3 linked regions of the Lepisosteus oculatus genome follow. The protein of the gene in region 1 purifies or fractionates together with the protein of each later gene. This does not show direct contact. Links are inferred from orthologs where the notes say so. Each region holds a gene or a part of one and is shown on either strand. Other genes may lie near its edges. The genes, in order: rtn4a, NADH-cytochrome b5 reductase 3-like and atl3.

Region 1 (7,622 bases):
GCTCTCAGCACGCAGAGCAAAAGTTGCACCCGCTCTCACCCACTGAAATGCCCAACCAGGCGTCATCCACATGGCCGAGCAAGTTCCTAAGCTCTGGGCCTCGTTACGCGTCAAAACACAGCACAGTGACTCTAAGCACTGTAAACACTCTGGATAGGTTACGCCCAAAAACCAAGCCAAGCTGAACTGCCAATGTCCCTGAAGGGACTTTAACATAACAAAAAATAATTCCCAGCCTAGTCTCCCTGCGCTTGTGTAAAACGACATTGATAAGGGTGTGGAATAGACTCTAATATGAAAAAATGGACTGAGCCGGTAGAATAAGACAGCTTAGTTAAGAATGGAGAGTCGTCCTGGTGGGCGCTCAGTGGTGGATGAAGTGGGTGTGCTCTGATATGCAACGTGTATAAGGATCCTTGGAGATGAAAAGCGATTCATGAAATGCAATTAATGAAAGGGCTACGGTACATGGTGATTATTGACATGGGAGATGATCGATAGATGGATGACTGATAGATCTGGGTGAGGTGGTGGTGAGCCGCTCTTTGCTAGGTGCATCAGTACCATGAACTCCTGACCATAACACTCCCATTGCCTTTCAAGATATCTGCCATGTTATTGACTCTGATAACCAATGAAAAGCTGAAGCAGTTCAATTGTTCAGCCAAGGACCCCTGGAAGGATGAACCCCATTCCAGTCCTGGTCAGTATGGTTCAAAAATGTCTTATTTGTTTTCAGAGTTAAGGGATAGGATGGGCGTGTCTTTGAGCTTTAGCAAATAACTGTAGTAACATTTGGAATCATATACATGCAGAAATAAATATTATTAAAAGGACAAAACTGAAAAGAATCAGCTACATAAATGATCTTGTCCTCCACTCACTCCAGAAGTGTTTGATGTTGGAGTTGTCACGCCCTCTGTAGCCAGAGGGCGCTCCTTCTCTGTCCTGTCCCTAGTTTCTGGTCTGCTGTCCTTCCGGTCCCTCTCTTTCCCTTGGGCTATATTTTTCCGGGTCTTGCACTCTGCCGGGGCTCAGCATTGATGTTCGGATGTCCTGAGACCCGCCTAGCACCAGGTCGCCCCACGTCCGCTACCTGAGGGCATAGGTTTCTATACGGCATTCCTGAACTCTTTGCACTACGAGCACGGGCCTTTTTCCCGTCTCGCCGCTACGCAAATGGATCTTTTTCCGCTCTCCTGCTGCCCTCGGGTAGCCCCTTTGGACGTCCGTGACAGGAGTCCTGTGACTCAACACCACAACACCACAGATATCTACAGAGCTCTTAGCCTTTCATATCTGTGTTACGGGGCTGGAATGCTTCTGTGATTGGTTCACTGCTGCTTTTGGAAATAAAGGTGTCGGAGGGAGAGATTTTTGCACACGAGACATGTAAAACAAGACATTAAGAGTTAAGAGTTTTAATGCTGTAAATGCTGTAAGGTGAAGCTGGCATGAGCTTTGATGAGGCAGTATTGTAGTAAGTAGTTAAAACAACTCACACCTGAAGAAGGCTTCACATCCAAAACATTGTGTTTTTTTTCTTCTCTTTTCAGCAGGGAATAAACCTATTACTTGTTCCCTTGCAGCCTACGCATGCTGACGCAGCTCCCCACCTGAACTACTGTAAAAACAACGTACTTGTAAGCTTAAGCCTTATTGCCACATGTTGTTTTAAGACGTGTATGTCTCTCTAATTTATTTTTACTTCCACTGTATCTTTACTTGGAGATTTTGTTCTTCGGCCAAAGTCCTTCTTGGAAACTGGTTAGATCAGCAACTGGGCCCACTGCTCATATCCAGAACAAGCAAACTGGAACCCAGCGACAGTGGTCACTGTCTATTGTGGAAAGGCCATGGAGCTGTGTGTGGCACAGAGTAAGGAGATAAAAGGAATGATTAAACACAAACTGGGGCTGCTGGATAAAGGTGTTGATTGGTTTTAAACTGCTGGCAGAAAGCAATCAGTTTGAATTACTGGATTGGGGAACCGGATATCTGTTAAGCACATGTGCGGCAGAGATACACAGGACAGATGTGTGTGTAACTCAGCCAGCATGCACTGTATGTGGTGCAACAGTCTAGGGTGGGATAATGGGAAGTTGTGGTCATATGTACACAGATAGGGCAACTTTCACACTCTTCTGGGGAGAGACTGCAGAGGACGGAACAGAGAATCACGCAAAACAAAGCCCCCAAGATGGAGGGGTAGTTCAGTGCATCTCTCAACGTTGCAGTACGTACTGTCAGCAGGGGCTCTATCTCTTATAGAGTCGAAAGATCTGAGCCCTAAAAATAGCCCTGGTGCCTCAGTTTAGACCGCAGCTATTTCTGTTACAATACGAGAAACAGCCTGTTGCGGGGGAAAGGGACTTGGCTTTCGAAATGCCTCGTAGTCCCAGTATTGGACCAGCACAGAGGTGACAGAGGTAACCACAGGGCACGAGTCTTTGTATGTCACATTACGATAAACAATACAGTATATCTGCACAAACTGTAGAGGTGGATGTCTGCCCCGTGCATCATCAAAACATGGGAAGAGTTAATGTAATAATGTTAATGTTGCTTTATTAGCCCTATACAATTTCTTGCATTAGGAATTCGGCTTTTCACATACCCCAGCTTGCTCTCCATGAGACACAGACACATATACAGGGAGAGAAGCTTGGGATCAGAGCACAGGGTCTGCCATTGTACAGCGTCCCTGGAGCAGTTGGGGTTAAGGGCCTTGCTCAGGGGACAACAGAGTAGGATTCCTCTGCCGGCTGCAGGATTTGAACCGGCAACCTTCCAGTCACAGGCACAGATCCTTAGCCTTCGCTCCGCCCGTTACTTGTTACTAATGAGAGGAGGCCTTTCAGCCCATCTAGATTGTTTGTAATAATAAACTCCTTAAACTTATATAGCGCTTTTCTGGACTCTACACTCAAAGTGCTTTACAGGTAATGGGGATCCCCTCCACCACCACCAGTGTGCAGCCATAGTGCACCAGTACACTCCCCACACACCAGCTCTCAGTGGGGAGGAGAGCAGAGTGATGAAGCCAGTTCAGAGATGGGGGTTAGGAGATCATGACTGGTAAAGGTCAGGGGGAACTTTGGCCAGGACACTGGGGTAACACCCCTACTCTTTTCAAGAAACACCCTGGATCTCGTCCAGTTGTCTCTTTAAGACCTCTGGGGTATCAGCTTCAACAACAGGGCTGGCTAGCTTGTTCCGGGCTCCCACAACCCCATTGTGTCTGTTTGTGTTCAAGCTCAGGTGTTGGTGAGTTTCAGTGCTGGCGTCTTCCTATCCAAACAGCACAGACTCGCAGGGCCCATCGTACAGCAGAGAAAAGACTGGCCTCGAGCCACTTTACAAAGAGGAACGCGCACTGAAAGAGCACATGTCTGCAGGCACAGCAGAGAAAATGAATGGCTGAAAACAAAAAAAAGGGGGTTGTATCGGCAGCTGTCAGTAAAATTAACCCAAACGCAGAGAGGCAAAGAGAGATGAATTAAAAATGAAAGCTATTGTTAATGGCTCATTCATTTGCCAATGTGTCAGGCTTCACTGCTGCTGTTTACGTCTCAGTATAATGGAGACCCAGGCCAAGTTTGTATTGTAAATAGCTGAAGAGCAAGGCAGCTCTTACAACTGTAACTGCAGACATCTGCAGTGTGTCACAATCAGCGAGGACTCACGTGGATTCTTTCTCAGCTCTCCGAATTGAAAAACAGTGGGCATTGCCCACACCAAAAGGCCAGGAACTGACCCACAGGAACATACAGATTTTCTTAATCACCTAAATATTTAACGAGCTCCCTTTTGTAAACTTGAAGGGACACAGCTGTGTGTCAGCTCTCATAATTCTGGCTCTTTTTTTCGGAGTCATCCAGTAATTAGATGAGCTGATGTAACAGAGGGGAAGTCTATGAGGTCACCGAGTGCAGTCAAGGTGACCAATACTATACAGAAATACCTCTTTTGGGATGACGGTAAAAAAAAAGCTATAATACGTTATAGCTTGTTATAACGACTGGAATGTTATAATACGACTGGAATTCATTTATCTTCTCTTCCAAGGTTTGAATACGTCTTTACTACACGGTCTGTCTCTCACTGCTGCTTTATCAGCTACAATAACTGGAACATCTCCTTTTTATGGCGCACTGACAATATCGCCAGAGCCTTTATCGATCACAGCCTACACGCAGGACTGTATATCGTTAATTATTTACTTTAACAGCGAAGGTTAGGCCCGTGAAACCTGCCAGTGGTGGTACCGGCGTTTTATAACATCTTGGGGAAAAAAATGCACGCTTTTCGCTACAAGAAATGTTGCAGATAACTTTCGATCTGCTTTGTCACACTTTTCACGTATCCTCGTCTTCCGTGGTTACAGCCGCGTTACTAAGCAAAACTCCCAACGACACCGGAGATTGAAACCGCTGCAGATTGGTGGGAGCCGGGGGATGGGCGTGGTCCTTTGTTCGGCCCTCACCTTCGTGGCGGGGCGGTAGAAAAATAGTTGGGAGGGGGGAGGGAGGAAGAGCCGGGTTGGTCGGGGCGGACGTCAGTCAACCGAGATCGGCGCGCTGATTGGCCGAGGTCCGCTGAAGGGCTCCTCCGGGCACCGCAGTGTGGCGCGTTGCGCGTGCGAGAGGCTCCCTGTTCTGTCCTACGCTCTCGTGGCCGTGGCGCACTTGTTCAGTTCATCTCCGCCGGAAGGCAGCGACTAGCCAGCCCAGCGCAGCTACTCGGGGGGGGAGAGAGAGAGAGAGAAAAAAAAGGAGCACTTTCACTAGAAAGGTGTGTGTGTGGGGGGGAAAATCTTGGGTACACACCTTATAAAGAAGGGCTACACAGGGGGCGACTCCGGACACGAAAGAGGAAATGGAAGACGCGCAGCACATCTCGTCCACGACGCCCGGCGTCGATGAACTCCGCAAACTTCAGGGGGACCCCGACAAGATGGACGAGAGCAAGTTGTACGACGAAGCCGCCGGCTATCTGTTGCAGGAGAGCGGCGGCGGCTCGCCCAGGCCGCTGGCCGACGACGATATCCTCGACCTGGCCGGCGGCGCCCGGGATGCTCTCCTCCGGCACCGCTCCGCCACCCCGCCGGGGACCGGGGACCCGGACAGGGACCTCTACTCGGAGTTTGCCCCCGCGGCCGAGCCCGGCGATCTGCTGACGGGGATGGGCGGCTTCGGGGCGCCCTCGGTGAAGCAGGCGGCCGATAGCCCCCCGAAACCGGAGCCGCCCAGAGCCGCCCCGCGGAGCCCGGCCAGCGACCCCTCTCCCGCCTCCTCCTCCTCCTCCTCGGCGGCCTCCTCCCCAGGTGAGCACCGGTGCCCCTTTCGGAGGAAAAAGACAGTTTAATTTAGGCGTGTCTGAAGCGGGTGGGTACTTCACCCGGCCCACGGCCCCTGGGGGGGCCGCACTTCTGTCTCGCGGAAGTTGGGGCGCTAGACAATGGCCGTGGCTGCGCCCGAGGAGCCGGGAGCCTTTGTCGCGTGTGTGTTTGTGTTCCTGTATTATTGCACAAATAAAGCACAACTTCAATGCCGCGTTCCCGAGGCGGGGGGTGGCCCGGAGAAGCGCGGTCCGATGACTCTCACGCCGGTGCTGCCCACCTGTGTCGCCCCGGCGAGACGCGGGGGATCCGGGGGACCCGCAGCCGCTAACGGCTCCTTCTCAAACGGAAACGCAGTGCGCGGCTGAGAGAGATGAGATAGTTGTTTGCCCCTTTTGCACAGTATTTTAGGATCGCGTCCTGTGTGTGTCTGGGGGGGGTGGTAGTTCGTTTTGGGGTTGTTTTGGGGGGGTGAATTGTCCCTGAGTCAGCAGCCATTTTTCTCCAGCTCCTGGGTGGTCGAGATGTAATCAGGGGGTCGGGATAAGGACCTGTCTGTGTCTTGTCTGTGTGTGTTTTAGTTGCTATGGCGTAGTCCCATACCGGGGAGAGCTTGCACAGACCGTCGCGGCCGTCAAAAGATGTTTTTTTGTAATTCTTTTGCTGACGACGGGACTCCCCCTCCCTCCTGACTGATGCGCTATAATGCCGGCCAGGCTCTTGTCTCGGCGAGGCGGCTGGCTGGCTGCACTCGGACCCGACATCCCGATCCGGTTCGGGTCCGGTGTTCCGGGGTGGATCGACCGATGGGCGTGGGTCCGACAGGTGCTGGGAGTGAGATGGCCCGAGCAGACAGCCCCCCCGGGGGGGAGGGGGCGCAGATTTGGCCAGCTGTAGCCCTGGGGACGCTGTTTGGGACCCGACCCCCCCGCTGATCTGTGTGTGAAGTGATTAAGCTGCTGGCTTTTCTGGGGGGGGTGAGAGAGGTGTAGCGCAGTATCTGGGGGGGAGGCGACAGCAGGCGCACAGGTCAGGAGGCCCTGGTGGTGGGCCGGGCTGGGCTTGCTCCGACGCCGAGCAGACTGCAGCGCCAGTCTGCGCCCACGGCCTTGGAGAGGCGGGTGCGGTGTGTCTGCAACAAAATGATCTCCGACAGGAAAGTAGTCTCCATACGGAAACAGCGGACGAGCGGCCAGACAGAAATGAGAATCCCGCACATGTTCTTTAAGGGAAAGAAAGACCTCATCATATCATCCAGGCGAAACCTGTGGCTTCTTGATATCCGCGCTGTACCCCGCGCCGGGGAGGGGTACCTCCGGCGCCGGCTTTGTTTTAGTGGGTGATGTCATGCTCTGCGGCCGACAGGGGCCGTAATATACGATCCCACAGATAAGCACATGCTCGGCTACTCCTTATTTGTTTAATTATTTACAATAAAATACCTCTCGTTCTTTCAATTGACACACCGCCCTATGCGTCTAAACAATCGTATTAAAAAAAAAAGTGCAATCATAGGGATATGAATTAGACTTTCTCCAAGGCAGGCAGATAGCCACAGTATTCTGTCTCCAGTGCTTCTCAGGGTATTGTTTTAAAGCCCAGGGGATTTGGCCTTGATCTGTTTATCTTCCATAATCCCTTTGTACTGTAGCTGCTGATGCATATGTACCTACACCAGTTTCACATGCTGCACATGTTTTCTTCAGCTCCTTCCAATGTAGGACTTCTGTTCATGCAGGCTCGTTTACAAGGCATTCATGTAATATGTTCTGTAAGCATGTTACACGTTTTTTTTCCAATTAAACTGCTTCTCCTCCTCTACCCAAATTTCGGGTTTAGAAGAGAGACTTTGCTCTTATGTGCTTTTTTGGGCCAGATTTAGGAGCTTCATGAAAATGCCGTACCTAGCTCAACAGGACACAGAAAACCCATTTGGACAAATTCAGTTAAAAATGGCGTTTCATGTTTTATACTTTATATAATAATGTCGAGACGGTTGGTTCTGAAGGCCTGTGGGTGATGTTGCCTAGCCAGTTCAGGGAAAAGGGTTAATTCTCAATAACTTTGCCACCTTGATTGGCTTTTCAGAGGTCATGCCATTTAGCAGTTTGTTGTGTTTACTGGGTTTCTAAGGACCAAACTAATATAATCATCAGCTGCAGACCCTCAGATTATCTGAGTGCATGTAGCGTGACTGTGAGTCACTATTGCCACAGCAGCTGTGTAAAAGACTATCCAGTCGGTGGTTGCTTCCTCTAGGTAAGAGATGACAGTGCAGTTG
Region 2 (6,972 bases), on another chromosome or scaffold:
CATGAAATCTAGAGTCAGAACCAATAATGAGGTGGAGACATGTACCCAGTCCTTAACCTCTCATCCTCCTTCTACACCAGAGGAGTGTTACGATTGATGTCCCAGACCTCCAGAAGCCTGAATTGTCCAGTAACAAAGTATGATTCAGTGGCAACTTGTGAGGAGAGGCTGAAGCAATTTTAAAGGTGTTTCTACCATTCTCCCCTTTAAATATAAATCTGATCTGTAGCTGCATTGTTGACTCACGTATTTCACTTGGATTGTTCCAGTAAAAAATACTCTGCTATGTAAAGGGGTCCAAATGTAAATCACTTTAGATAAAAACTATTGGCTAATTAGCATAATTAATTAATTGACTCCGCTGTAGCACACTGAATAAAATACTACAGATCAACAGTGAACACAGACATTAACCTGTGAAATTATGAGACAGTTCACTTTCACAGGTTAATGTCTTTGCTCACTGTTTAATTGTGCAGCTAAATGCAAGGTTACATTCCCAGATTGCTATCGGGGTGTGAGATTCAGGGCTGTCTCAGATAACACTGGTGCTGAAACACGGGGATTCACAGCCAAGGAAACAGACAAAGGATGTAACCTTTCAATTAACACGATTTAACACTTCCTGCACTGTTTCAATCTGTACAGTTGGAGGTACTTTGAAGGGGAGAAGGAACAGAAATCCCCCTTAATGAGTTTCAGCCATTCTCACAAGCCCCTGCTGCTCAATGTCCACATTAATTGCCAGAGTTACAATCCTGCACCAGCCTGACCTGTCAACAGCAGAATATCACAGGGTAAGACAACAATTGCTTCAAAATGCTTATCAACAGATGCATTTCAATACAAGTAAAAATGAAAATGAAGGCTACAGTTAGTGGTTGTTATGCAACAAAGATTAGCATGCCAAACAATGGCTATGAGACACATGCTCATTAGGAATCCCTCCAACCATAAAAATATTTTAACTTTGAGAAAAGAGGGAGTTTTTATTTTCCAAAACGTCAGTGAAAAATCTCCCCCCCCCCCCAACCACCTAAAAAATTGCATTTTCTTTCAAACTCATTGGAGAAATAATCATCAGTTAATCAGGTGAACTAAACAAACATTTCAGAACAGTGTTAGATACATTATTTTAAATATGAAAATCACTTTCCTAAAAAAAAACCCAATGTGATACATGTCAGATACAAATCCTAAAGCAACAATAATGAATCTGAGAGTTTACTATCCCAATGTACACAGCAGACATGCACAGCTACAGTCTATAGACACAAAGACATTAAAACATTTGAACAATTGAAAGTAATACCATGTTTTACACCGTCAATATCTCGGTTTTGTAAACAGGATGCCCAGTCTTTTTCTCATAGCAAACAAGATGTATCTTTCCCAGAACGGTGCAACACGATGAACTTTCCAGCGTAGAGGAAACTGTAGTATACCACTGTTGTTTTTACTTTTCTCAGGTTTAAACACACGCCAAACACGGGTTTAAACACAGGAGCACAAATATGACTCACACGCGTACGTCTTGATGGTCCTCAGCCGCTCCTCGTTCACGTGAGAGAAGAGTGGCGCACTGGCCCTGTCTCTGGCGGAGTTACTGCCTGGAGCAACATAGCCTGCCTTCCCCTGAAAGACACACAGAAGGGATCTCAAGTGACAAGAAACAGTCAGCCCACTGCCTGCCACGACTCCCACCCCCATCCACCAAGTTTTACACAAAGCTTGCGTAAAGAGACGCTACACTTTTCCTACTGTCCAGTGCCAAACAAACACGAGTAGAAAGCTCAGCCACTAAGACATCTACAGCACCATATGCACACACTACTGAAACAAGCAAGTACTGTATGAACACTTTCAAAAGAGTGGTACAGTAGATATCCCTGCAAAACAACTCTGCAGCATTTCACTGGGGTAAATTATAATTTGTTTAGGAGGTAGTCACTGGATTTTTATCCATCGCCTGCTCCTTGGAATTGTCAACAACGAATTCCAACTTTACTCGTCCCTCAATATCGCTGTAAGTGCTCCACTAACTCCAAGTGTTATGACGCTGGCTCCGCAACCACAGGGGATAAGGACTGCACATCGGCCTGACCAACTAAACCAGTTCTCGTATTTTGGTATTTAAATCAAGATTAGTCATGGATTATTCTAGGCAAGCGCAAAGCGGCTCAGTCCGCCGTCTGCCGGACAGGAAAGGTTTCGGGCAGTGAGCCACACCTGCAGGGAGATGGTGTAGTCTTTCCCGGGCTTCAGGCGGTTCTCATCCAAAGCCCACAGCTCGTTCAGGAGGCTGGACAGTTCTTGGTTGATCCCTTGCCTGGGGGAATGAGAGGAGCACAGTACAATGCTTTTGCTGATTATCTTAAAATAAAGATAATGGTCAAATTTACTAGGACACAGTCACATAGCTTAAGAGAGCAGTTTGTTTTTCCATTTCAGTGGGAGGCTGTCCAACAGAAAGCACAAAAACTGGGGAATTGGTTTCATTTCTTAAAACTTTCATATTCAAAGCAAATCGACTATAAATATAGGAAGTGAAATTAGAACATTAAGATTTCAAGGAAGCTGAGGACGTTAACAGTTCGGGCGTTGGCTGATAGTGGGACCCAGGTGATGAAACCATTTTACCAAAAACGAAACTTTAAACATCTAGAGAGCCGCCCACAGGCTTTCAATAATTAATTGCCTGATACAGAGGTTTTAGTACTTAGCACAGTTCATTTGTTAATTTTAAGGTTTTTTTAAATGTAAAAAGCCATTAATTAATTGTTTAAATGCTCGGCAAAAGACAAACCAAAGAGATCTCCCATTTCTAAAGTCGCGACAAAATTAGTTCAGGAAAAAGAAGTGCATTACATAATTGGTGGTTTTGAACAGAAGCAAAGTAACTCGGGGCCAGAGAGGGTGGGTCACTCGTTTACTTTCGAGCGAGATCACTTGACAGTGAGATTTGAATAGCGTTAAATTACGCTATAAATTTCATCTCGCTACACCTACTTGCTTTTCAACCTTTAAGGGAAATTTGAATGCGTCTTCCTTTGCTCCACAGGGGAAAAAAAAAGTTACACTTGCCGTTCATAGGAGTTGTAATTGTTTAAAGCAGAAAACAGTTTCACGTAACTGAAGACACTAGTGAACAATACGGTGTGTAATGCAATAGTGTTGGCATATCTAAGCATAACTTAAACACTGCCTTTTGTGGATACCTGCTACAAAGTACTACTTGTAACCATTATAATAACCCAAATGCGCTTGTTCTTCCTCTTCGCTTCACCAGGTCGGCTTTATTCGTGGAGGTCGAGGAAAATTAAAATGAGCACTACGTATAATCACACAGACGAGCACCTTTTGATGTATTTTGGTTGCAGTCCTTTATTCCTCGAAGGTACCCCAAAAACGCCCTCAGGTGAAGGCACCGGGTGCCCGCTAGCTAGCCGAGTTGCGTCACCGCGACACCTTTCTACAGTAATACAGTAATACAGTAATCTGTGCAGCAACTTCAGGATACTGACACGCAGCCGCTTTGCCAACTTCAAAGCGATCTGGGAGAACAATAATAACAACACAAGAAAAGAAAAATCCAACCATCTTATCGGCGCAGATAAGGTGCCTGTTGTGTGTTCTTACCCTTTGGCCATTGCGCCGCTGTCAGACTGCCTCAATTAAAGATGACAGATGTAAACCTTATTGCTCCTAGCCGTGACTCAGAGCGAAGGCAGTTTTAATGGCAGCTCAATGAAGGCTCCTTGGCATACATGCATGGTCCAATAGCGAGAGCGTCCCTCCTACCGTGCCTCCGCGATCGTCTTGGTCCGGAGCGATTGGCTCTCTGGGCCCGGAGGGTTTGGCAGCAGCTCATGGTGACGTTGATATTTTCTCTGTTGTGGACGCCTGGGAGGAGCAGGCAAATGAAAAAAGAATCGTGAGCTGGGGTGGGGCTTGTCTGCAGAAGTTGCAAAGAGTATTTTGCTATAAGTCCAGGATCTGCGTACCTGTGGCATCTGGAGGAAGCCGAGATGTCTTTTATTCTGCGAGTGAGTGTTGGCACTTGTTGACTTTTTCGTCAAATCACCTGCTTTGAGAAATATTGTAGATATGGTGTTACCGAGGAGCTGGCTGACTCATTGCACTGGTGTTGGCACGACGTATGCTCGGAGTTATAGTGTTGTTAGCGCAGCACTAATGGGAAGAAAAAAATAAAGAAGAGCTTTTTAGTTATTTTATTAATTTATAAGGGAATCAGTGACGTCTTGTTATGTTGTTAAACGTTTAAGTCCTGCACTTGTAATGAAGGGACGGTCGCGGTAGATTTGTCCAGGTAAGGTCTCGCTTTGCGCTTGCATTGGTCAACATCTACTGTAATTAGGGTCATATGTCTGTAAAACACATTTCTTGTAGACTATATTATACACCATTATAATGCAAATACTAATTGCTAATGCAATTAAGCAAAGGCGCCCGTGTTTTCCTGCTAGAAGGTTATCGCTGGTAATATGGCCTCACTGAATGTGCAGGAGCTGTTATAGTTTTTGTATGCGTGGTCCGTCATTTTTCGAAGTAGTGTTGTATTCGTTCTGCAGAATTAATTTCATTATAATAGTATGAAGTTTTATACAATGTAGAGCAGATACTAACGTCAGCGCGGATGGTATCTTTTTGCTTTTGTTTCACTTTACATTTTATGACGTGGTACGAGAGGGCACCTTTGTGTGTGTGTGTGTTTTTCCTGTTTGAATTTTGGTGTTATAAGCATTAAAGGCTAGACACTAATTTATAAAGCAAAAACGTCAACCTTCTCGATAATAGGAAGTGATGTGGGGAATGAAATCGACGTTGCACCTGATTTTTTTAAGTGGGTGGAGGCGTGAAACAGTAACTGAGCGAACTTTTAGGAGAATGTTTCTCCAAGAATAGCTACCATTGGGAACAAACACTTGTAACTTTTTTCGCTGTTGTTTTTTTTTTCTTTCAAGGACCTCTGCCCAAGCTGATGAACTTCCTGTGCTGATAGCCTTTCAGGCATGAAATGTTAACTCTTTATATACCAAGATGACGGGGAAATATTCTGCTCCCCATGACAAAGCCCTTCTAAAGTTGTCACTGAGGTTTTTAAACTACAGTATGGATATTTTACAGGCAGGGTTAAACGTTAAGCATTGACAACTACATGTGGATAGATGTCTTTTTTCATGAAAAAAGACAAGCTCTTAACTTTGTTGTAAAATGGTAAAATGTTATCTTGTACTTCTACCGCAGGTACATTTTATTTTGGATTTCCAGAATAGTAGGAGTCTAACTTATGACAGTGTAACTCAGAATCCAAATGTGCATTATGTTTTTTTTTTCACTTGTCTTTTTCAGATCATCCGAGACAGTTATAATTACATTCGCAATCTCATCTGCCACCTTCTCTTCGGAAAGAAAAAAGCTGCGATAACTCTTGAGGATCCCAATATCAAGTACCCTCTAAGACTCATAGACAAAGAGGTGAGATAACATTCATTTATTGCTTTTAATCTCCGTCTCAGTCAGTAACAGGTGTTCATCTAGCAGTTCAGTGCTTTCCTAACTACCCTGTGGACACATTTCCAGGAAAACAACTTAACTTTTCTTTTCTCTCAAGTGTCTAGGTGAGTGAAATTGATAACAGCCTGAGAATCTGAGAAGTTAAGAAATATGAATTGACTGCAGCATATACATTGCTCATAAGAGCATGCATTACGTGATGCTTTTTAACAAGAGGTGTTGCGTTATACCCCTTTTAAGTTAGTCAATACATTTTCTAAAGTATGTAGTTTTTGATGCATAAGACAAACTCTGAAGTTTTTCATATACAGTATGTTTTACCACAAAAAAACACAGCTTTGCTGAATACAATAAATGATCCTGTGACATGCAGCATAGCTTTTGCAATTGCAATTACTTGATTAAGAATATGTATTGTACTACTACTACTAATTTCTAACACCAACGGTATATAGCACTTTTCTGGACACTCCACTCAAAGCGCTTTACAGGTCATGGGGATCCCCTCCACCACCACCAGTGTGCAGCCCCACCTGGATGATGTGACAGCAGCCATAGTGCACCAGTACACTCCCCACACACCAGCTCTCAGTGGGGAGGAGAGCAGAGTGATGAAGCCAGTTCAGAGATGGGGATTATTAGGAGGCCATGACTGGTGGAGGCCAGGAGGGAATTTGGTCAGGACACTGGGGTAACACCCCTAGTCCTAGATTTTTAATGACCACAGAGAGTCAGGTCCTCAGCCAGGACATCTATTCTTTTTCAGAAACATTGAATTCAGATATGTCACGCTTCTGTGCGGTGTAAAGTCATGAATGCGTGGAGCTGTCTCTGTCCACCACATATCCCAGAAGTAAGGAGATATGCTTTTATGTTGTCCTTTGTTAAAGGACTGCTGGGTATTCACATGTTAGGCGTTCTGCAGGCCATTGTAGCTGATTTATCGTCAGACACAGCAAGGGCCTTCAAACTGGCTAGCGTTTCCCCAGCCATGCTCGTTTATTCTGGGGGGTCACTATCTCCACACCTGGAGGGCCACTTTTTTTCTGGTTTTCATTCCATCTTAGACTTTTGGAACTAAGTGGAGAGGAAGTCGAACTGCCCGTTTTCTTTGTGTCTTAATCAAGTGGTACTGCAGTGTTGCCTCTGAAACCTGCACACGAGGGCTGGAGCCTGCTGCCCCAACTTTATTCCCTGGAAATGTGTCGGGTTGTTGTTGTCGGAACGGGGAAGGGTAGTACAAGCAGAGCTGCTCAACATCTGTCAATTGCTTCTGCAGAACTAAAACTCCACCGGTTTAGCCACTCAGGGTGTGAAAAATGAGATAGAAAAGTCTCTCTAATTTAGTAATTGTTCAGTAAAAAGCCACACCCCCCCCCCCCCCATTGTCAGGAGGCCCCATGTGTCACGGTTCTTGGCACTCACACTGTTTGT
Region 3 (7,997 bases), on another chromosome or scaffold:
AGCTGGACCTGGGGGTGACCGTAGCGTCCGTAGTGAGGGTCCCAGACTGGACTGTAGGGGTACAGTGTGACCCAGCCTGGACTGTAGGGGTACAGTGTGACCCAGACTGGACCGGCGATCTCTGGACTGGAGGGGTACAGTGTGACCCAGACTGGACTGTAGGGGTACAGTGTGACCCAGACTGGACAGTGATCTCTGGACTGGAGGGGTACAGGGTGACCCAGACTGGACTGTTGGGGTACAGTGTGACCCAGACTGGACAGTGATCTCTGGACTGTAGGGGTACAGTGTGATCCAGACTGGACCAGTGATCTCTGGACTGTAGGGGTACAGTGAGACCCAGACTGGACTGTAGGGGTACAGTGTGACCCAGACTGGACTGTAGGGGTACAGTGTGATCCAGACTGGACAGTGATCTCTGGACTGTAGGGGTACAGTGTGACCCAGACTGGACTGTAGGGGTACAGGGTGACCCAGACTGGACTGGAGGGGTACAGTGTGACCCAGACTGGACAGTGATCTCTGGACTGTTGGGGTACAGTGTGACCCAGACTGGACTGTAGGGGTACAGTGTGACCCAGACTGGACAGTGATCTCTGGACTGTAGGGGTACAGTGAGACCCAGACTGGACTGTAGGGGTACAGTGTGACCCAGACTGGACTGTAGGGGTACAGTGTGACCCAGACTGGACTGCTGGGGTACAGTGTGACCCAGACTGGACAGTGATCTCTGGACTGTAGGGGTACAGTGTGACCCAGACTGGACTGCTGGGGTACAGGGTGACCCTTCTGTCTTCGCTCTGTGTCCCCAGGGTTTGGAATGACCACCCCAGCGACTGTGACAGGCAAAGTCTTCCTCGTCTTCTACGGCCTGCTGGGCTGCGCGGGCACCCTCCTCTTCCTCAACCTGTTCCTGGAGCGCGCTGTCACGCTGCTGGCCGTCGTGCTGCAGGGGGTCCGCGGCGCGAGGCTGCGGCGACGCGGCGTGTACCCCGAGACGGGGGGCTCGCCGCCGGGGGGGTGGAAGCCCTCCGTCTACACGGTGATGGGCATCCTGGGGGCCGCGGCGGGGGCGGTGTCGCTGGGGGCCTCCTGCCTGTACAGCGCGGCCGAGGGCTGGAGCTACGGAGACGCCCTGTACTTCTGCTTCGTCGCCTTCAGCACCATCGGCTTCGGGGACCTGGTGAGCGGGCAGCGCGGGGCGCCCCTGGGGTCACAGCCGCCCCTGTACGGCCTGGGCAACTTCGCCTGCATCCTGCTGGGCGTGTGCTGCACCTACTCGCTCTTCAACGTCATCTCCATCCTCATCAAGGAGCTGCTCACCTGGCTGCTGGAGCGGGCCGGCTGCCCTGCCCGGCGCCGCCCCGCGCCCCCCCGCGCCCGCGCCCGCCGCCCCCCCGGCCTGCCCGCCGCCCCGGCCCCGCCCCCCGGCCGGCGTGCCCGCCCCCGCGCCCCGCCCCCGCCGGCCGCCAGCGAGGTCTCCATGGACACGGAGGCGGTGTTCGACAGCGAGACGGACGCCCGCCGCGTCTCCCTGGAGACGAGCGCCATCCGCGACTTCCTGGCCGCCCCCCCCTCCCCCACGCTGGGGGGCAGGCGCCGCCGGCTGGCCTGGGGGGGCGCCGAGGCGGGTGAGGGCGTGCCTAGAGCGGGGGAGCAGGAGGAGGGCGGGGGGGACCGGGAGCGAGCAGAGACGGACGCTGGCAGCGCCCCCCAGGGGGCAGCGGCGCAGAGAGGGCACAGCCCCAGCAGGGGGGCGTCCTGCTCTCCGCAGGGGGAGCGAGTGGGCAGCCTGCTGGACAGCCTGGGGTCCCTGGCCGTCATGCACAGCAAACTGGCCGAGACCTGCCGGGGCTACGGGCAGGGGAGACCCCACAGCGCCCGGCGGGACTGTCTCCACGGCGACAGCTACTGTGGTCAAGGTCGGCATGGAAACCACTTTCACTCTCACACCAGAGCTCCCAGCCCCAGTCACTCCCATCGTCTCACTCCCTCTCACTCTCCCTCTCACACCAGAGCTCCCAGCCCCAGTCACTCCCATCGTCTCACTCCCTCTCACTCTCCCTCTCACACCAGAGCTCCCAGCCCCAGTCACTCCCATCGTCTCACTCCCTCTCACTCTCCCTCTCACACCAGAGCTCCCAGCCCCAGTCACTCCCATCGTCTCACTCCCTCTCACTCTCCCTCTCACACCAGAGCTCCCAGCCCCAGTCACTCCCATCGTCTCACTCCCTCTCACTCTCCCTCTCACACCAGAGCTCCCAGCCCCAGTCACTCCCATCGTCTCACTCCCTCTCACTCTCCCTCTCACACCAGAGCTCCCAGCCCCAGTCACTCCCATCGTCTCACTCCCTCTCACTCTCCGTCTCACACCAGAGCTCCCAGCCCCAGTCACACCCATCGTCTCACTCCCTCTCACTCTCCCTCTCACACCAGAGCTCCCAGCCCCAGTCACTCCCATCGTCTCACTCCCTCTCACTCTCCCTCTCACACCAGAGCTCCCAGCCCCAGTCACACCCACTGTCTCACTCCCTCTCACTCTCCCTCTCACACCAGAGCTCCCAGCCCCAGTCACTCCCACTGTCTCACTCCCTCTCACTCTCGGGACAGGGGGGTGCAGGCGGGGGCAGGGGGGCCGGTGCAGGGGTCCGGCAGTGACCCCGCCGTTGGCTCCAGTGGGCTGGGGTCGCTGGGGAACCTGGGCAGCCCCCCGCGGACCGGCGCGGCCAGCGCGGCCAGCGGCTCCCAGACGGGGCTGTCCTCCAGCGGGCGGGGGTCCCTGGAGTGTGGGGGCGCCCCACTCGGAGACCCCTGCTCGCCCACCCCCCCTCCGGAGCGCGGGCGGGGCTCCCAGCGCAGCTCTGGCGCGGGACTGGCTGGGGTGCGGAAGGGGGACAGGCCCAGAGAGGAGCCCCTGGGGGCTGTGGGGTCCCTGGCCGTCCTCAAAGACTTTTTCCGCTGAGACCGGCAGGACGATGGACCCCCAGTCCGGACCCGAGAGACCTCAGCTCTCCAGCCTTTCCTGGACTCCAGACATGGGCTTGGTGTGTCGTACCCATGCCTTCGTGCTTCGTGTGATCTCTGTCCCCCCTCCTGCTTTCTCCTGCTTCCTCCTGCTCCTCTCCTGCTCCTCTCCTGCTTCCTTCTGCTCCTTTCCTGCTCCTCTCCTGCTCCTCTCCTGCTCCTCTCCTGCTCCTCTCCTGCTTCCTCCTGCTTCTCTCCTGCTCCTCTCCTGCTCCTCTCCTGCTTCCTCCTGCTTCCTCCTGCTCCTCTCCTGCTCCTCTCCTGCTCCTCTCCTGCTTCCTCCTGCTTCCTCCTGCTCCTCTCCTGCTTCTCTCCTGCTCCTCTCCTGCTCCTCTCCTGCTTCCTCCTGCTTCCTCCTGCTCCTCTCCTGCTTCTCTCCTGCTCCTCTCCTGCTCCTCTCCTGCTCCTCTCCTGCTTCCTTCTGCTCCTCTCCTGCTTCCTCCTGCTCCTCTCCTGCTTCCTCCTGCTTCCTCCTGCTCCTCTCCTGCTTCCTCCTGCTCCTTTCCTGCTCCTCTCCTGCTCCTCTCCTGCTCCTCTCCTGCTTCCTCCTGCTCCTCTCCTGCTTCTCTCCTGCTCCTCTCCTGCTCCTCTCCTGCTTCCTCCCGCTTCCTCCTGCTCCTCTCCTGCTCCTGTCACTAGACAGACCTTGGGGACTGGAAACCTTCTGGGAGCCAGTGCAGGGAATCGAGGACAGGAGTGATGCGACTCTGAGCCCCAGCTCTGCAGGACCTGATGCCCTTGTGTGGAGTGGGGGGTGCTGTGCACCCCATTGATGGACAGCGGAGTGCGCTGTGTGCTTCTTGGGTGCTCCTGCTGGCGTTTCGGGGCTCTGTGTGCCTATGGTCAGTCTCCAGCTCGAAGTCCAGTTTCGGGGCTCTGTGTGCCTTTGATCAGTGTCCAGCTCGAAGTCCAGTTTCGGGGCTCTGCATGCCTGCGATCAGTGTCCAGCTCGAAGTCCAGTTTCGGGGCTCTGCGTGCCTGCGGTCAGTGTCCAGCTCCGAGTGCAGTTTCGGGGCTCTGAGTGCCTGCGGTCAGTCTCCAGCTCCGAGTGCAGTTTCGGGGCTCTGAGTGCCTGCGGTCAGTCTCCAGCTCCGAGTGCAGTTTCGGGGCTCTGAGTGCCTGCGGTCAGTGTCCAGCTCGAAGTCCAGTTTCGGGGCTCTGTGTGCTGCTGTCTGTTGATGCTGATTAAAGTGTGATGAGTCTGATCTAGACAGGCTGAGTGCTGTGTGTTTTTCTTTCTTTCTCCTGCATCACTGATCCCACTTCAATCCCTCTACCCCAGGACTCACAGCCCCAAATACCTGCACCCCATCTGTGACCCCTCTACCCCAGGACTCACAGCCCCAAATACCTGCACCCCATCTGTGACCCCTCTACCCCAGGACTCACAGCCCCAAATACCTGCACCCCATCTGTGACCCCTCTACCCCAGGACTCACAGCCCCAAATACCTGCACCCCATCTGTGACCCCTCTACCCCGGAGGTGACAGCCCCAAATACCTGCATCCCATCTGTGACCCCTCTACCCCGGAGGTGACAGCCCCAAAAACCTGCACCCCATCTGTGACCCCTGTACCTGCACGCTCTGCGACACCCTTCATCATTATTACTGTTACCACTGCAGTCAAAACGCCACATCGGTTCTCAGGAAGATGCGGCTGTTTCTTCTCTTAACGCTCGGGGTGTCTGCAGGGGAAACCACAGTTTTGTTTTTTAACTACACTGGCGTGAAATGGCTACTTTCTGAGTCATCGCTCCTCCGCCCTGAGATGCCTGCTCGTCTGCCAGGCTGGCCTCGCCCTCCCCTCCACGGTCTGCAGCGATTCACTACAACTACCATGATGCCCCTGGCTTCCGGTGCCTCCTGGGAGATGTAGTCTTCTGCAAAAAAGATGTAAGCTAAACCGCACGGGCGTCGCCCTTGTCAGGAAATACGATTCCCAGACGCCCTTGCCCCTCAATCCTGGTTGGTTAGAGCGTTTTTTTCCAGATAACGACGAGAAAAAAAACAGAAAAGTTTTGGCATCGCGTTACAGGCTCGTTGTTCAGGTAAAGAAAAGCGTTGACCACACTTTGAAGTTCCTTTCTCTTGCTTGGTGCTCTCTGCGGGTCCGACTGGCCCCTAAGGCTAAGGCTGCTCTGCTCCGGTCCTGCTGCGTGTGCAAACCGGAGTCCGTCCGCGTCTGCGAGGCGTCTGGCTCGGCTCTCGAGGGGGAGGGAAGGAGCGCTTTCTCCTTTGAAAAGTATGTATTTCTGGACGTGCCTACCTGTGCGTTTTAACTTCCTGCTCTCCGCGGCCGCTGACAGCGTTTCTGCGCGTCCCGGGAAGATGAAAACGCAGGCTTTGGGGTTGCGTGTGCGAGTGCGTGTCTTGGACCGTTTCTTCACTCAGCCGGACCGAGCGCGGTTCGCCGAGTGGGTCTGTGCTGGCGAGAGATTCACCGGAGGGACCCGGATCCTCTGGGGACACGTGGATCGGACACTGGGAGCGGGGGGCTTGTTGGGCCGTGGGAGCCCGGGTCTGGGCTGGGCAGGGCAGGGCAGGGCAGGGCAGCACAGCACACCGGCACGCGTGGGGGTGGGGGTGTCGAGCGCTGTGGAGGCGATCGTCAGATCTCCAGATCTTCAGCTCCCCACAGATCTGGTGTGTGTTCACACTGTGTGACAGATGTGTTGTTCTGCTGTCTGTGGAGAGCGCCTGACTGCCTCTGCTCAAAGAGCTCCTTCATGAAGACCAGGCGCTGGTCTGGCCGCAGAAAATGGATTCTGCACCCCAGTCCAGCGCCTTCAACTCCCATCGGAGTGATCGGACTTTCTTGAAGGGCTTCAGTCTGATCCGCTCCAGGTGTGACAGTGCTGTCAGACTCCCAGTGCGCAGCAGTCTGATCCGCTCCAGGTGTGACAGTGCTGTCAGACTCCCAGTGCGCAGCAGTCTGATCCGCTCCAGGTGTGACAGTGCTGTCAGTCAGACTCCCAGTGTGCAGCAGTCTGATCCGCTCCAGGTGTGACAGTGCTGTCAGACTCCCAGTGCGCAGCAGTCTGATCCGCTCCAGGTGTGACAGTGCTGTCAGTCAGACTCCCAGTGCGCAGCAGTCTGATCCGCTCCAGGTGTGACAGTGCTGTCAGACTCCCAGTGCGCAGCAGTCTGATCCGCTCCAGGTGTGACAGTGCTGTCAGTCAGACTCCCAGTGCGCAGCAGTCTGATCCGCTCCAGGTGTGACAGTGCTGTCAGTCAGACTCCCAGTGTGCAGCAGTCTGATCCGCTCCAGGTGTGACAGTGCTGTCAGTCAGACTCCCAGTGCGCAGCAGTCTGATCCGCTCCAGGTGTGACAGTGCTGTCAGTCAGACTCCCAGTGCGCAGCAGTCTGATCCGCTCCAGGTGTGACAGTGCTGTCAGTCAGACTCCCAGTGCGCAGCAGTCTGATCCGCTCCAGGTGTGACAGTGCTGTCAGACTCCCAGTGCGCAGCAGTATGATCCGCTCCAGGTGTGACAGTGCTGTCAGTCAGACTCCCAGTGCGCAGCAGTCTGATCCGCTCCAGGTGTGACAGTGCTGTCAGTCAGACTCCCAGTGCGCAGCAGTCTGATCCGCTCCAGGTGTGACAGTGCTGTCAGACTCCCAGTGTGCAGCAGTCTGATCCGCTCCAGGTGTGACAGTGCCGTCAGTGCGAATGTGTGAGTGAGTGAGAGAGCTGCGCTGACCCGCTGCCCTCAATCCCCAGGCGCAGTGACACACAGTGAGAAATGGGGGGCGCTAGTGAGCCGCGGCCGGTGCAGATCGTCAGTGTGCACAAGGAGGACCACTCCTTCTCCCTGGACGCCAAGGCCCTGGAGGCGGTGCTGCTGCGGCCGGAGGTCCGGGACCTGGACGTTGCCGTGGTGTCGGTCGCCGGGGCGTTCCGCAAGGGCAAGTCCTTCCTCCTGGACTTCATGCTGCGCTACATGAAGAGGAAGGTGAGGAGCGCAGAGCACACAAGATACACACTGATACACACACACTGACAGTGACACACGCACACTGACAATGACACACTCACACACTCTTACACACTGACACACACACACTGACAATGACACACTCACACACTCTTACACACCGACACACACCGATGCACACGCACTGACACACAGACTAAGACACACACACTGACAGTGACACACTCACACACACCGACTCACGCACACTGACAATGACACACACACTCTTACACACCGACACACACACACTGACAATGACACACTCACACACTCTTACACACCGACACACGCACACTGACACACACTGACACACAGACTAAGACACACACACTGACAATGACACACACACTGATGCACACTCACACACTCTTACACACACACACTAAGACACACAGTGACGCACACTCTTACACACCGACACACACACACTGACACACACCGATGCACACGCACTGACAATGACACACACACTGATGCACACTCTTGCACACACTGATGCACACACAATAATACACACACTCTTACACACACTCTCATGCCCTCAGGGCTGAACCTCTCTCCTGTCCTGCAGGATGAAGCTGGAGACTGGCTGGGCTCCGACACCGAGCCCCTGACCGGGTTCTCCTGGCGGGGCGGCTCTGACCCAGAGACCACGGGGATCCAGATCTGGAGCGAGGTGTTCGTGGTGGAGAAGCCCAACGGCAAGGAGGTGCTGAGCCGTCCAGTCCCGTGTGAACGGGCTGAGGAGGTGCTGGTGGCCAGCAGGAGGCGCAGTGCCTCAGCCGCGCTGTAGGGGGCGCCGGTCTCTCTGTAGCGCAGTGCCTCAGCCGCGCTGTAGGGGGCGCCGGTCTCTCTGTAGCGCAGTGCCTCAGCCGCGCTGTAGGGGGCGCCGGTCTCTCTGTAGCGCAGTGCCTCAGCCGCGCTGTAGGGGGCGCCGGTCTCTCTGTAGCGCAGTGCCTCAGCCGCGCTGTGGGGGCGCCGGTCTCTCTGTAGCGC

The links.
Region 2: the proteins of rtn4a (region 1) and NADH-cytochrome b5 reductase 3-like purify together in Homo sapiens (affinity purification with mass spectrometry; 3 studies listed by BioGRID and IntAct, counting the BioPlex papers as one, with this or other methods). This does not show direct contact. The link is inferred for Lepisosteus oculatus from reciprocal best matches to the Homo sapiens genes RTN4 and CYB5R3.
Region 3: the proteins of rtn4a (region 1) and atl3 purify together in Homo sapiens (affinity purification with mass spectrometry; 4 studies listed by BioGRID and IntAct, counting the BioPlex papers as one, with this or other methods). This does not show direct contact. The link is inferred for Lepisosteus oculatus from reciprocal best matches to the Homo sapiens genes RTN4 and ATL3.

What each region holds. Positions count from the first base shown.
Region 1 is NC_090712.1:3,327,043-3,334,664, reverse strand, and holds the start of rtn4a (reticulon-4a), read left to right. Parts: upstream 1-4,525; 5' UTR 4,526-4,878; coding exon 4,879-5,326; intron 5,327-7,622. UniProt on the Homo sapiens protein: Required to induce the formation and stabilization of endoplasmic reticulum (ER) tubules. They regulate membrane morphogenesis in the ER by promoting tubular ER production.
Region 2 is NC_090702.1:53,637,339-53,644,310, forward strand, and holds the start of NADH-cytochrome b5 reductase 3-like, read left to right. Parts: upstream 1-3,880; 5' UTR 3,881-4,028; coding exon 4,029-4,046; intron 4,047-5,373; coding exon 5,374-5,499; intron 5,500-6,972. Other genes in the region: endouc (uridylate-specific endoribonuclease C), read right to left, coding at 1-8, 1,524-1,635, 2,230-2,329, 3,640-3,650. UniProt on the Homo sapiens protein: Catalyzes the reduction of two molecules of cytochrome b5 using NADH as the electron donor.
Region 3 is NC_090713.1:23,341,430-23,349,426, forward strand, and holds the start of atl3 (atlastin-3), read left to right. Parts: upstream 1-4,972; 5' UTR 4,973-5,074; exon of another isoform or gene 5,075-5,268; intron 5,269-6,745; 5' UTR 6,746-6,767; coding exon 6,768-6,977; intron 6,978-7,572; coding exon 7,573-7,710; intron 7,711-7,997. Other genes in the region: serine/arginine repetitive matrix protein 1-like, read left to right, coding at 813-2,962; octapeptide-repeat protein T2-like, read right to left, coding at 3,005-3,688, 4,766-4,777. UniProt on the Homo sapiens protein: Atlastin-3 (ATL3) is a membrane-anchored GTPase that mediates the GTP-dependent fusion of endoplasmic reticulum (ER) membranes, maintaining the continuous ER network. It facilitates the formation of three-way junctions where ER tubules intersect.